2 linked regions of the Anolis sagrei genome follow. The protein of the gene in region 1 binds, or shares a complex with, the protein of each later gene. Links are inferred from orthologs where the notes say so. Each region holds a gene or a part of one and is shown on either strand. Other genes may lie near its edges.

Region 1 (8,052 bases):
AATATGTGATTGGACCATCTAGAGAAACTACTTCTCAAGGCACCTGTAAGTCTCCCAGTGCTTCCAAAGGAGTCAGGATAGAAGACCTAGAGATTTCTAGAGAGGTAATCCCTTAGGTAATTTTTAAAAAATTGCTCCCTTCCTTCATTTTCAGTGAATGTGGAGCATTGACTGTGTGTGTGGTTTTTTTTAATGGACTACTGTCTTGATGTTTCTGAAGACTAGATTACAAGGAGACCTTTCTCCCAATAACAAAATACAATGAAAATGTTTAGCACTCCTGGCTCCCTGGGCATCAAGATTGCAAGAACTTTCATGCAAAAGTATAGCAAGAAGTCTTGCCCAGAAAAAGTAAGGACAATGCAAGTCCTTGTATTTGCTAAGTGCTTTGAATCCATTATAACTGCTACATCCAAGAGAAAGAAAAACAGCATAATTCTGGAGGGATCTATAGACAATCCTGTTCAAACAAGTATCTCCTACAGAATTCAAAACAATATGCTCCTCTTTAAATCTACTACAGACGGACTCTGCAAATAATTTAAGTATAGCTTGAGCATTCTTTACCAAGAATTCCAAAATGACCCAAAATTATCCACATGTGTGTTTGAGATCATGAAACATTTGCTTTCTGAACTCTCTGCTCCAGAGTGTGGTGGAGGCTCCTTCTTTGGAGGTTTCTAAACAAAGACTGAATGTCCATCTGTCGGGGGTGTTTTGAATGTGATTTTCCTGCTTCTTGGCAGGGAGTTGGACTGGATGGCCCATGAGGTCTCTTCCAACTCTATGATTCTATGAACATGCCTAAAAACACTATATAGTTCAGCCTTAAACATTTTCTTTAAAAGGTAGGCGAGCGCACACCATATGGCAAAGCAGGACTATGGTTGTATCTACATCATTGAATTAATGCAGTTTAATACCACTTTAACTGGTCTGGCTCAATGCTATGGAATCCTGGGAGTTATTGTTTATTTATTGATTTACTGCAGTTGTATACCACTCTTCTCACCCTGAGGGGGGACTCAGAGCAGTGTACAGTATGGATACATAAACATGTACAATGCCAATATATTAGTGTTACTATATTACAATATTATTCTCTGTACTGATCCAAACTATCAAAATGTATCAAACCACTTATACAGTGCTTGGAACATGGCATTCTATAGCCAAAGAATGCATCTTTTCAGCAGGGCTTTTATCTATATAAATAAAAATGTAATGTTCGTTTGTGGATTAACATAACTCAAAAACCACTGGACGAATTGCCGTCAAATTTGGCCACATAACACCTACTAACCCAATGAGTGACCATCATTTTAAAAAATTGAATTTTGTCATTTGGGAGTTGTAGTTGCTGGGATTTATAGTTCACCTACAATCAAAGAGCATTCTGAACGATGGAATTGAGCCAAACTTGGCACACAGGCCTCTCATGACCAACAGAGAATACTAGCAGCGTTTGGTGGGCATTGACCTTGAGTTTGGGAGTTGTAGTTCACCTACATCCAGAGAGCACTGTGGACTCAAACAATGATGGATCTGGACCAAACTTGGCACAAATATTCCATATGCCCAAATATGAACACAGATGGAGTTTGGGGAAATAGATCTTGACATTTGGGAGGTGTAGTTACTGGGATTTATAGTCCACCTACAATCAAAGAGCATTCTGAACCCTACGAACGACAGAATTGGGCCAAACTTCCCACACAGAACCCCCATGACCAACAGAAAATACTTAAGGCTATCCAGTCCAACTCTCTTCATCAGGGCAAGAAAACATAATCAAAGCCCTCCTGACAAAGAGCCATCTAGTCATAGATATAGATATATATGACTAGCCCCCCCCCCCGCCATGCTTTGCTGTGGCCTAGTGTATCTGTGTTTTGTGTGCATATATATGTGTGTTTATGTATGTGTGTGTGTGTGCACACGTGTGGTTTTGTGCATGCATTGTAATGTGGGGTTGTTTTTTTTTTTTTTTTTGCTTTTTAAGTTTCTTTTGCTGTGTTTTTCAGTGTTTTTATGAGTGATGGCCACTCGTTGGCCTGATAGGTGTCTTGTGTCCAAATTTTGTGTCAATTTGTCCAGTGTTTTACGAGTTATGTTAAGCCCACAAACCAACATTACATTTTTATTTATACAGATTCACACACACACACACACAGAGATATAGTATCATAGATTTGAAAGGGACCCCTAAAGAAGGACAATGATATGTTTTATGTTCCAGAGTAGGTTTTATGTTCCAGACACTCTCCACATCAACACTGACAAAAAAAAAAACCCAATAAGAAATACTGTTTACACACAAGCATAAAGAAATTACATATTTTAGAAACAAACACTTTCTCATTACTTCATTTTCCAGATCACCAGACTGGGCCACAGCAACGCATAGCAGGGGACGGCTAGTATTATAATTATTTCTTTAAAAACGCTTCAGAAACAAGCTCCAATTTTGCATTGTTTTTTCGTGTTGTGAGAATCTTTTGAGTCTCTTTTTTCCAGAGAGATAGATAAGTGAAACATAGATAAATGCAATGATAATCATGACTCCCAGATGGATATCTTATCTACCCACTCCCTCCCTGCAGTGAAGAGCAGCAAAACCTTCCCAGAGGCGACATAATAAATAGAAAGAGGGGGCGTGTTCCGTGCATGAGTGATGCCCCAATTTAGGCTCATGTGCAAGAGCTGCATGATACATAGGAGTCTGCACTGACCCCAGGCTGCCCTGCGAATGGGGCCTGAGGCTGCGAGGCAACGTGGCGCTGCTCCCGGCTGCGAGAAGGAACAAGAAAGGCTGACCTGCACCATGATGGCCAGGCGGAGCGAGTCCTTGGCGATGTTGTCGCCGCATTTCTTGCACGAAGCCCGGCCGCTCTTGGCGTACTCGACGCGGTACTGCTTCTCTGCAGGCTCCGCCATGGCTGTGCTAGGAAGGGAAGGATGCGAGCAGCAAAAGCAATGGGGGCAGCACGCGGCGCATTGGAGGCTCTTGCCAGGCTCTCGCAGTTCAATGCCGAGCGCAGAGAGATCGAACCCTGCTTGGCTCTGCTCTCAATCCGTTTCGGCGATCGATTAGGCATGCCGCGTAGGAGGGAGGCTTTTAGAACGTTGCCCGGGAATCAGCAGAGCTGATTCCCGGGCAACGTTCTAAAAGCCTCCCTCCTACGCGGCATGCCTAATCGATCGCCGAAAGGGTCCTGCAAGGAAGCACGTTCTGGGAGTTGTAGTTTCCCATGTCCTGCTCAAAGGATCGTCCAGTACAATGACTAGGATTTCATTCCATCTCCACTGGCTCAATGTCATCCGATTTTGGGAGTTGTAGATTTGCAACTCATACATCATAATAAATTGTGGCAAGTTCTTGGTGGGATGGGCATTACAAGCCACCTTGTCTCTCTCCTGAGGAATCTGTATAAGGAACAAGTAGCAACAGTCAGAATAGACCATGGAACAACAGACTGGTTCAAGATTGGGAAAGGCGTGCGGCAGGGTTGTATACTTTCACCCAACCTATTCAACTTGCATGCGATGTGCGGGGCTTGACGAATGCAAGGCTGGGGTGAAAATTGATGGAAGAAACATTAACATTAGGTATGCAGATGATACCGCTGTGATGGCCAAAAGCGAGGAGGAGCTAAGGAGCCTTATGTTGTTGTTCATTCGTTCAGTTGTTTCCGACTCTTCGTGATCTCATGGTCCAGTCCACACCAGAGCTCCCTGTCGGCCGTCACCACCCCCAGCTCCTTCAAGGTCAATCCAGTCACTTCAAGGATACTATCCATCCACCTTGCCCTTGGTTGGCCCCTCTTCCTTTTTCCTTCCATTTTCCCCAGCGTCATTGTCTTCTCTAAGCTTTTCTGTCTTCTCATGATGTGGCCAAAGTACTTCATCTTGGCCTCTACTATTCTTCCCTCCAATGAGCAGTCAGGCTTTATTTCCCGAAGTATGGACTGGTTGGATCTTCTCTCAGTCCAAGGCACTCTCAGAACTTTCATCCGGCACCACAGCTCAAAAGCATCAATCTTCCTTCACTCAGTCTTCCCTATGGTCCAGCTCTCACATCCGTAGGTGACTATGGGGAATACCATTGCTTTGACTGTGTGAATCTTCTTTGCCAGTGTGATGTCTCTACTCTTCACTATTTTATCAAGATTGGACATTGCTCTCCTCCCAAGAAATAAGCATCTCCTGATTGCACGTAGAAATACAACGTCTGTCACTGCCTTCACGTTGGGTTGCAGTTATATATATATATATATATATATATATATATATATATATATATATATAAAACAAGATTATGGCAACTGAACTGATTGACAACTGGGAAATAGAGGGAAAAAACATGGAGGCAGTGACAGACTTTGTATTTCTAGGTGCAAAGATTACTGCAGACGCAGACTGCAGTCAGGAAATCAGGAGACGCTTACTTCTTGGGACCAATCTTGATAAAATAGTGTAGAGACTTCACACTGGCAACGAAGATCTGCATAGTTAAAGCAATGGTATTCCCCATAGTCACCTATGGATGTGGACCATAGGGAAGGCTGAGCGAAGGAAGATAGATGCTTTTGAACTGTGGTGCTGGAGGAAAGTTCTGAGAGTGCCTTGGACTGCCAGAAGATCCAGTCAGTCCATACTTCAGGAAACAAAGTCCAACTGCTCATTGGAGGGAAGGATATTAGAGGCCAAGATGAAGTACTTTGGCCACATCATGAGAAGAAAGGAAAGCTTAGAGAAGACAATTATGCTGGGGAAAATGAAGAGGGCCGACCAAGGGCAAAATGGATGGATGGTATCCTTGAAGTGCTTGGCTTGACTCTGAAGTAGCTGGGGGTGGTGACGGCCAACAGGGAACTTTGGCGTGGGATTTTGTTCATTTTCTTTCCCCCCCCTTTCTGTTGAAATTGTCCACATGCTCATGGATTTCAATTATTTCTCTGTGCAGTCTGATATGGTAGTTGTGAGAGTGGTCCAGCATTTCTGTGTTCTCAAATAATATGCTGTGTCCAGGTTGGTTCATCAGGTGCTCTGCTATGGCTGACTTCTCTGGTTGAAGTAGTCTGCAGTGCCTTTCATGTTCCTTGATTCGTGTTTGGGCGCTGCGTTTGGTGGTCCCTATGTAGACTTGTCCACAGCTGCATGGTATACGGTAGACTCCTGCAGAAGTGGAACGCCCTCCCCATGGAGGTAAGATCAGCCCCCTCATTGATGGTTTTCCGGAAAAGACTAAAAACCTGGATGTTCGAGCAGGCGTTCGGTTAACTCAGTGCAATAAGTGTAATGATTGAAGGACTGGCAATTTGGACTACGAAACTGGATCGCGATTTTAGTCAAGAGATGAATTGGATTGTTTATTGATATATGTATTGTGGATCGTGTTTTTATGCTTTTAAACTGTATACTGTTGTTTGTTATAAGTTGTAAACCGCGTTGAGTCGCCGGCTAGGCTGAGAAGTATAGCAAATACAAGTATAGCAAATAAATAAATAAATAAGTGAGAGGATCCCTCTTGTCCTTTGCTTAACGCAGCATGTGTTAGATCTTCTTAGTGGGTCTGTAGATTATTTGTATGTTGTGTTTCCTCCTCAGCTTCCCTATGCGGTCGATGGTTCCCTTGATGTATAGCAAGAACACTTTTCCTCTGGGTGGATCTTTGTCTTTACTCTTGTGGCTTGTTCTTGGTTTTGCAGCTCTTCTGATGTCTGTGGTGGAGTATCCATTGGCCTGTAGAGCTCAATTTAGGTGGTTCAGTTCCCCTTGGAGGAATGTCCAGTGGGAGAAAGAACTTTGAAGCTGCAAGACTATTCAATGCTAATCAAGCTGGCCAATTGCAACATTCACATTTGCCTCAAACAGACATTCCACAGATATATAAACCTCACTTGCCTAGCTTCAAACAGACCTTATACCCTCTGAGGATACCTGCCACAGATGTGGGCGAAATGTCAGGAGAGAATGCTTCTGGAACATGGCCATATAGCCTGGAAAACTCACAGCAACCCATTATTGTTGTTGTTGTTGTTGTTGTTATTGTACAGTAGAAATGCACCCCAGCAAACCTAATAAAATTATATCTTACAAAAATTACTGTAATTAACTGTGAGTAATTAACTGTGAGTAATTGAATCCATGAATTCAGAATCTATGGAATGTGAAAATCGTCTGTAAATCAGTTTGAATACCATCTCGATTAAAAAAAATATCGAAGCACTTCAAAATGCAAGGAATTTGCTTTTGAGGATCTGGATCCAAGGGCTGCAGAGTGAAAATTCCTTTTTGATGAATGTGTCTTTTGGAGTTAAATGTACCCTTAATCAGTAAACTCATAGTGCAGTTTCGCTGTACTGACCTGTATTACATAAATCATTATATGGCAGTGTAGATGGAGCCACAATGGTACTAACTTCTGAGACAACATGTCTAAGGTTATACTACTTGTAGTATTACCATTAGGTGTACACTGCTTTGCAGAACAAAGCTCCCTCAAATATATGTGAAACCCCTGAGTCAGGCTATTAAGGATTTTTTTTCAGGGCCTTCTGGCTGACTCAAGATAAAATACCGTATTGCAGCATCTGTTGTGTATCTTTAAGTCATTTCTGATTTACAAACTTCTTAGGGCAAACCTATTGCAAATTGTTCTGGCGCCAAGAGAATGTGACTTGCCCAGGGTCACTGTTGTGCTTCCGCAAGATTTCCCACTGTTTGTTCCTGTTGAACCCCTATTATGTATACAGTGTTCCCTCGCTACTTTGCGGTTCACTTTTAGCAGACCCGCTGTTTCGTAGGTTTTTGAAAATATTAATAAAAATATTAAATATTAAATATTTACATCCAGTGGACGCCAGGGACCCCAAAAGCGGCTTGAGGCATGGCAGGGAAGGCCTGCCTCCCTGGCCTCCACAGACCCCGAAAGTGTGGCGGGGAAGGTCTGCCTCCCTGGCCTGTGCTGCCTGCATGGCTCCGGAGGCATTGTGGAGGCCAGGGAGGCAGGCAGGTGCTCTTGGGATGGGCCGGGAGGCAGGTAAGGAAGCACAGATAAGAAAATAATATATAAAATATATAAAATAATGTATAAATATTAAAATTAACATGGCATCCCTTATCGCGGGTGGTCCTGGAACGGAACCCCTGTGATAAGTGAGGGAACACTGTATTTTGGGGGGTTAGTCTAGATAGCCTCTTCCTCCTTGTACTTGAAACCTCCCTCACCCTGTCCTTTTAATACTCTTCTCAGGGGCGGAGCCTCAGCCAAGACCCTCCTGGTTTCTTGAGCCGTCAGCCAGTGTAGTAGATGGAAAGTAAAGAGTAAGGAAAGTGGAAAGATCCAAAAAATGGAATGTGATGTCGAAGCAATACACCATCACATCAAAGCTTTACATTGTCACATCAAAGCCAAATACATTACACCAAAGTTTTATGCAAGTAAAGACACAAAGTAAAGCCATGTCAGAGATATAACAGACTGAAATCCAATTGAAGTCATATTAAAGTAACATCCAGTCAGAACTGTGGTTATGCTTCAAGGATTTTAACTCCCCTCAAAAAGACTGACAGTACATTCAAGAGGAGAGGAAATCTGAGATCTGTTATTTAATACATTCTTGTGTGCACTTCAAATGTGTAGCATTCATTCTGATCCCTGCACCACAGACACCTTCCAAATAAATAGCTAGTGCCAGGGCAGAACAGTCACCCAATGGGTTTGTGTGGCCCAGTGGGATTCAAACCCTGGTTTCCAGACTCGTACCCCTTTTCAAATGGGTGGTGTCCCTCACGGTGTTCTGGGTAAAGCCTGACTTTCTGTAAGAGGATTTTAGGGAGTTCATGAAAAATAGTTCTTCAGTTATGAGTAGGAAAAGGAGCAAAACACTTTCCCTATTAGAAGGAGAGCAGGATGGATGGGTATTATGGAGACCAACTTCAGTCGTTAAAATGGTTAAGCAGATTTCTGAGTATATACAATAGGATCAGAAAGAATCAAACACTTCAAAGGATACTACTCTATTATGAATAAAATTTGAATTAATG
Region 2 (7,692 bases), about 6.3 Mb from region 1:
TCAACAACCACCTACAAGGTGAAAACAAGAAGACAGATGCTTTTTTGAGCTGGTATTCATTGGTAGTTTCCCATCCAAGTGATAATCAGTGCTGATCCTGTTCAGCATCCTAGATGAGACTGGATCTGGGGCCTTTGCAGTATGCACAACTCACAATACTGTGAGTCATTAGGGTTTGGTTCCAGGCCTGCTGTTGATACCAAAATCTGTGGATGCTCAAGTCCCATACTATACAGTGACATAGTAAAATAGTGTCCCTTATATAAAAAGACAAAATCAAGATTTGCTTTTGGGATTTGCCGGGGGGGGGGGGGGGGGGGAAGATATTTTTCAAGCTAGATAAAGATTTTCCACTGACATTAAGTCCAGCTGTTTCCGAGCCAGTGTTTTCCGTAGACAACACTGGCTCAAAGTCATGTGGTTGGCAGGACTGCATGGAGCACTGTTACCTTCCTGTCAGAACAGTACCTGTTGATCTACTCACATTTGCATGTTTTTGAACTGCTAGTTTGGCAGAAGCTGGGGCTAATAGCGGGGGCTCATGCTGCTCCCTGGATTTGAACCTGCAACCTTTCAGTTAGCAAGTTCAGCAGCTCAGCGGTTTAACCCACTGCGCCACGGGGTGCTTCCATTTTAAAGCTATGGATGGTCGAATCCATGGATACAGCAGGCTGATTGTGTATTATTTTTCTGAGATATTGCAGTCATTGATATTCATTATCAGTTTCTCATTCAAGATGTGACCAGAGCTGATCCTGCTTAGGAACCAAGATCAGACAGAATTTGTTGCTTTTAGTGTATTTACAGTTCACAATATGGCAATATCTTGTTGCTGAAACTATCTCCTGCACTGCCACATACATATACACCTGGAAGAAAGGACAATCTTATTGAGATATTAAGGCCTTTAGTACTCAATTGCAGTTTTCCGTGCACATTTTCTCCTACATTCCCAAATAATAGACACAACCAGCTCGAACAACCATGAGTGCATCTGCACTGTAAGGAGCCCTTGGTGGCGCCATGGGTTAAACCCTTGTGCCGGCAGGACTGAAGACTGACTGGTTGGAGGTTCGAATTCAGGAGGGTGCAGATGAGCTCCCTCTGTCAGTTCCAGCTCCCCATGAGGGAAACTCCCACAAGGATGGTAAAACATCAAAACATCCAGGTGTCCCCTGGGCAATGTCCTTGCAGTCTCCAGTTCTCTCACACCAGAAGCAACTTGCAGTTTCTCAAGTTGCTCCTGACATGAAAAAAAAACCAACAACACAGAAACATGGATGAAGCAGGACATGGGTGCATCTACGCTGTAGAATTAACACAGTTTGACACCACTTTAACTGCTATGGCTCAATGTTATGAAATCAATGGAGTTACAGTTCTACAAGGACTTGACTCTTCTCTGCCAAAGTCTGCTGGTGCCTCACCAAACTATAACTCCCAGGATTCCGTCGCATGATGCCATGGCACTTAAAGTGGTGTCAAAATGCATTATTTCTACAGCGTAGATGCACCCATGTCCTGCTTCATCCATGTTTCTGTGTGTATAGATGAAAATAATCAATGATAAGATTATGATGGGTTTTAATTCCGCATTGGATGATTCAAAACACAAAGAAACTGCATGCAAAACATGGCAAAGAAGTTGGAGAAAGGAAATGGATGGAAGCAGAACTCACACAATCACTTACAAACCCCGCATAGGGTGTGTTGTTCTTCATATTATTGTGTGCCTCCTCTCAGAACAACCCTATGATGGAGTTTTCTGTGGCTGAGAGGGTGAATTCATCTTCCACATCAGGCATGGGCAAACTTCAGTCCTCTAGGTGTTTTGCACTTCAACTCCCACAATTCCTAACAGTGTAGGTCAATGGTTTTCAACCTGTGGGTTGCCAGATGTTTTGGCCTTCAACGCCCAGAAATCCTAACAGCTTGTGAACTGGTTGAGGTTTCTGGGAGATGTAGGCCAAACCACCTGGGCACCCACAGGTTGAGAACCACTTTTGGTCATGTCAGGAGTGACTCCTGGTGTGAGAGAATTGGCCGTCTGCAAGGACATTGCCCAGGGGACGCCTGGATGATTTGATGTTTTTATCATCCTTGTGGGAGGCTTCTCTCATGTCCCTGCATGAAGAGCTGGAGCTGTTAGAGGGAGCTCATCTGCCTCTCCCTGGATTCGAACCTGCGACCTGTCGGCCTTCAGTCCTGCCAGCACAGGGGTTTAACCCACTGCACCACTGGGGGCTCCTGAGAACCACTGTCCTATGCTGTTAGGAATTGTGGGAGTTGCAGTCCAAAAACACCTGGAGAGCTGAATATTGCCCATGCCTGATCTACACTGTAGAGCAGGCCTGCCCAACTTGTAGCCCTCCATGTGTTTTGCTGGACTTCCGCTCCCAGAATTCCTCACTATTGGACAAGGGTGTTTGGGAATTGGCGCCCCAAACACCTGGAAGGGCTTCAGTTTATGCAGGCCTGCTGGGGAGTTAATGCAGCTTGACACCAATGGGGCTCAATGCTATGGGGGTTGCAGTTTTACCAGGCCAAACTATAACTGGCCAGGGTGCCAAGAGCATTGAGCAGGGAAGAAGAGTGTCAGCCAGGACGCATTCATCCCGCAGCAGCCCTTCACTTGAGATGGAGGATGCCGGCGCTAGGACCCGGGGGGAAATCCTGGGGCGCTGACGCCGCCCAGGCCGAGGCTTCCTGCCGGCCTCTGCTCCTTCCCTCTCCTCGCCTTCCTTGCCTTTACCTGGCGAAGCAGCCCTCGCAGTGGTTGCCCCTCTCGTTGACGGTGAGGACGCAGGTGAAGGCCGGGCAGGCGAAGAGCAGCTCCCCGGGGACGAAGCGGCGCCGGGCTCGGAGACCCCTGCCTCGGCCGGGGCTCTGGAAGCGCGCCAGACCCAGCTCCTCGCCTTCCTTTTCGGAGGAGCGCATGGCGCCGGTGCCGCCGAGGAGGAGGAGGAGGAGATCGAGGAAGAGAAAGAGGAGGAGGAGGAGGAGGCTGGCCCGTTGCTATTAATGGCGCGCCGTCACCCGCAGCGGCGCCTGGCCCCAGAGCCCAAGGCACATACATGGGCAGAGAGAGCGAGAGGGGCAGGCGGAGCAGCAGCAGCACCACAGCCAGCCGTCCACGGGAAGGAGGGCCGCGCCAGCCCGCTGGGTCCTAGAGCCCGTCCGCAGACATGCGCGCTCTAGGACCCAGCGTTTCCATCCCCGCCTAGGTCAAGCGTAGGCCTCGTCGGTAATAGTATGATAGCTGGGTCTGGAAGTGCAGAGCGTTACGGAGAGGCCGCATCGCTCCTTCGGGAGCGCAGTTTGTGGAAGAGAGCCTTAGCTAATGTAAGCCAGGCCGGAGACAGATACTATAGAAGGAATGAAGGAGTTCTTTAATTTATTTATTTATTTGTTTATTTACAGTTCTTATATTCCACCCTTCTCACCCCGCAGGGGACTCAGGGCGGATTACAGTAAACACATATATGGCAAACATTCAATGCCAGTTTGACAAACAACATTTAACACACAAATACACTGAGGCTATTTAACTTTTTTCTGGCCGCCAGGGGAGCTGCTGCTTTTCATCATCCATCAACGACACCGATGAAGTTCTTCCGCATTCCACATTCCCCGGAGTCTTTTTTCTTTATGGCCTCATAAATTAGTTAAATTTAGCCTCCCACACAAGGTGGTACCTTATTTTCCTACTTGACAGATGCAACTGTCTTCCGGGTTGCAAAGGTCGACAACGGGCTACACAATGGCTGGACACCCACTCCAGCCCGGGCTGGCTTCGAACTCATGACCTTTTTTTGGTCAGAGTGATCTTAATGCAGCTGACACTCAGCCAGCTGCACCACAATCCCGGTGAAGCCCTTACCCTAACCCTTACCATAACCCTTACTCTAACCCTGAACCGTACCGTAAGCCTAAGCCTTTACCCAAAACCATACCCTAACCTTTACCCAAACCCTTACACAAACCCTAAACCTTACCCTAACCAAAACCCTAACTCAAACCCTAAATCTTGCCCTAACCCAGTGTTTCTCAACCTGGTGGTCGGGACCCCTGAGGGTAGCCGGCTTCAGCCCCCCCCCCCCCCCCAAATTCTCATGGTGGTTCGCGAAACGTTCTTACTGGTACATTATTTAAACTGTTATGTTTATTCATATCATGATCTGACCACCATACTCAATATATCCCATTTGCATGGGGGTATTGGGGTAATGATACAAAAGGTTTGCTAGGCTAGACCCTCTTTCACTCAGACTCAGCCCCCCCCCCCCGCCCCCCCGAAACAAAATCCTGGTTACGGGCCTGCCCTAACCCTTACCATAACACTAATCCTAACCCTGAACTGTACCATAAGCCTAACCCTTTACCCAAACCCTAAACCAGGGGTCTTCAAACTTTGTAAACAGAAGGCCAGGTCACAGTCCCTCAAACTGTTGGAGGGCCGGATTATAATTTGAAGTAAAAAAAAGGATTCGCATGCACACTGCACCTATCTTATTTGTAGTGCAAAAACCACTTAAAAACAATACAAAAAGTAAAATGAGGAACAATTTTAACATATATAAACTTATTAGTATTTCAATGGGAAGTGTGGGTCTGCTTTTGGCTGATTAGATTGGATTGTTGTTGTGTGCTTTCAAGTCATTTCAAATTTAGGATGACCCTGAGCGAGGGCCGGGTAAATGACCTTGGAGGGGCCCCGGGCCTTAGTTTGAGGACCCCTGCCCTAAACCATACCCTAACCCAAACCCTAAACTGTACCGTAACCCAAACCCTAAACCTTGCCCTAACCCTTACCCTAAGCACCCCCTCCTTTTTATCCTTCCTTCGCTCTCCCCATGCTCACTCCGCCCCCTCTCTTCCCTTATTCACAGCCGCCTTTGCGGCATCTCCGTAATGCTCGGAGCTTCCAGACCCAGCTATCTTACTATCACCCTGGACCATACTGTAAACCTAAGCCTAACTCTTTACCCAAACTCTTACCCAAACCCTAAACTTTACCCAAATCCTTACTCTGAATGCTAACCCAAACCCTAAACCTTACCCTAAACCATAACCCCTTACCCTAACCATAACCCAAACCCTAAACCTTACCCCAACCCTTACCCTAAGCACCCCCCGCTTTTTATCCTTTGCTCTCCCTACTCTCACTCCGCCTCTTCTCTTCCCTTATTCAGAGTCGCCATTGGGGCATCTCCATAACACTTGGCGCTTTCGGACCCAGCTATTGTACTATCACCACCTCGTCTGTGCTGACCATGCATTCAATGCAGTTTGAAGCTAGCTGCAAACCGCATTGTCTGAACTCCTGTGCAAAGCTGCTTCCTATGGTGCCTGAGGGGATTTCCACACAGGCCTATAACCCAGAATATCAAGGCAGAAAGTCCCACAATATCTGCTTTGAACTGGGTTACCTGAGTCCACACTGAGATAATATGGGATTTCTTGCCTTGATATTCTGGGATATAGGGCTGTGTGGAAGGGCCCTGAGTCTGGGTGAACGATATAGCAGCCTAGATTCATGCAGTCCTGTTCAACTGCATTATATGCCATTGTAGATGGGGCCACAGAGCAAGAAACACCCACAAAAGAGTGCAAAATGAAACGCTTCAGTGCTTCATGGTTTGCGGTTCCATCTCCTCTGCCATGTAATGGAGTTTTGAAACTGCATTATGTAGTTAGTGTAGGCTCACAATGCAGTTGAATGGCATTATATGAGTCAACACCAACCTGGAATTGTGCTATGTAGTCAGTGTTGGCTCATAATGCTATTCAACTGCATTATATGAGTCCACACAAACCTGAAATTGTATTATGTAGTCAGCGTAGGTTCACAGTGTCGTTCAATGCAGTTAAATGGCATTCTATAAGTCTACACCAACCTGAAATTGTATTATGTAGTCTAGTCAGCATAGGCGCACAGTGCGGTTCAGTGCAGATAAACGGCATTTTATGAGTCTACACTGACCTGAAACTCCATTATTTAGTCAGCGTAGGCTCACAGTGTGGTTCAATGCAGTTGAATGGCATTATATGAGTCTACACCAACCTGAAACTGAATTATGTAGTCAGTATTGGCGCATAACTCTGTTCAACTTCATTATATGAGTCTAAACTGATCTGAATCTACTTTATGTCATCGGTGTAGACTCACAGTGCTGTTCAATGCAGTTAAACGGCATTACATGAGTCTATACTGACCAGAAACTGCATTATGTGGTCAGTGCAGGCTCACAGTGCGGTTCTATGCAGTTAAACGGCATTATATGAGTCTATATCGACCTGAAACTGCATTATGTAGTCAGTGTTGGCTCATAATGCTGTTCAACTGCATTATATGAGTCTACACTCACCTGAAATTACTTTATGAAGTCGGTGTAGGCGCGCAGTGCTATTCAATGCAGTGAAATGTTATTATATGAGTCTACACTGACCTGAAACTGTATTATGTAGTCAGTGTATGCTCAAAGTGTGGTTCAGTGCATTTAAATGGCATTATATGAATCTACACCAACCTGAAACTGCATTATGTAGTCAGTGTAGGCTCACAGTGTGGTTCAATCCATTTAAACAGTATTATGAGTCTACACTGGCCATATAAGGTAGTTTCAAACTGCATTATATGGCAGCATAGGTGGTGCTCATGTCATCACCATCTGGGGCCCCAAACTGATTCCAGGATTTCTGGTGTAATCATTTGCACAGCGAAACCACTTTCTTCAATACTGGTTTGAAACTAAATTAAATGGTCTGTGTAGATGGGGTCCAGCTCCTCGCTCAGAAAGGAGACCAGATTGACATTAAGCAAGTGGTATAAGGGGGAAAAAATTAAAGGGACAGGACAAAAAGTGCAGAAATATGGGCAGCTAGCCCTGTGTGGGTATGTAGGTATAAGTATATATGTATGTATATGTGTGTGTCATCCTAGCTGCCAACATTTTTGGACTCTTGTCATAATACAAGGTGTTCACTAAAAGGTATGCATCCTTGTTGTATACATTCCAGTGTACACAATCCTATATATACATAGATATATATATATACATACATTCACATATACACATAGGAGTTATACAATAACAAAGTGTATAAATCTGTATATAGGTATGTGTCTGTGCACACACACACATCTACACACACACATACGCATACATACACACACATATACACACATACACACAGAAATATATTCAATAACAAGGTTGCATACATTTTAGGGCACATTTTATTTATTTATTTATTTTATTTAAGGCATTTATATCCTGTCCTATCTCAACCACCGCAGGGGGACTTAGGGCAGCTAACAACCAGCACAGCACAGTGCCAACAACAGAGAAAAACAAGCATAAATATACATATTATAATAAAAACAATGTAAAGCATGAAAGCAGTTTGCCCTGTATATATGTATGGGTTTGTCTGTGTGTACATTTAGGGTTTTGACTTTTGCATATTTGATTGGTCATGGATTTCATTAAAATGTTCTTTAAGAAAATCTAGGTCCTTTAGTTCAATTATATGATTAAGTTACTCTAGTCATGAGGGGAAACATAAGAGAGGTGTCCTCTGTAGGAATTTCCAGGTCTTCCAATGCTATTACAAGTCCACTTCTAGCTAATGTTTTTGATTTTCACAGGAATCCCCTAACCCCAGCGAATGTGAAGGGTGGATTGTACA

What was found.
Region 2: the proteins of PARP1 (region 1) and SMYD2 are in contact, whole or in part, in a crystal structure (PDB 9CKC), measured with the Homo sapiens proteins. The link is inferred for Anolis sagrei from reciprocal best matches to the Homo sapiens genes PARP1 and SMYD2. Residues at the interface, in NP_001609.2 of Homo sapiens: Thr526, Leu527, Lys528, Gly529, Gly530, Ala531; in NP_064582.2 of Homo sapiens: Thr105, Leu108, Val179, Asn180, Cys181, Asn182, Gly183, Phe184, Thr185, Glu187, Leu191, Ser196, Ala203, Met205, Tyr240, Ile241, Asp242, Ser257, Tyr258, Asn380.

Annotation. Positions count from the first base shown.
Region 1 is NC_090021.1:39,857,591-39,865,642, forward strand, and holds the start of PARP1 (poly [ADP-ribose] polymerase 1), read right to left. Parts: upstream 3,026-8,052; 5' UTR 2,938-3,025; coding exon 2,818-2,937; intron 1-2,817. UniProt on the Homo sapiens protein: Poly-ADP-ribosyltransferase that mediates poly-ADP-ribosylation of proteins and plays a key role in DNA repair.
Region 2 is NC_090021.1:33,551,172-33,558,863, reverse strand, and holds the start of SMYD2 (N-lysine methyltransferase SMYD2), read right to left. Parts: upstream 3,027-7,692; 5' UTR 2,938-3,026; coding exon 2,753-2,937; intron 1-2,752. UniProt on the Homo sapiens protein: Protein-lysine N-methyltransferase that methylates both histones and non-histone proteins, including p53/TP53 and RB1. Specifically trimethylates histone H3 'Lys-4' (H3K4me3) in vivo. The activity requires interaction with HSP90alpha.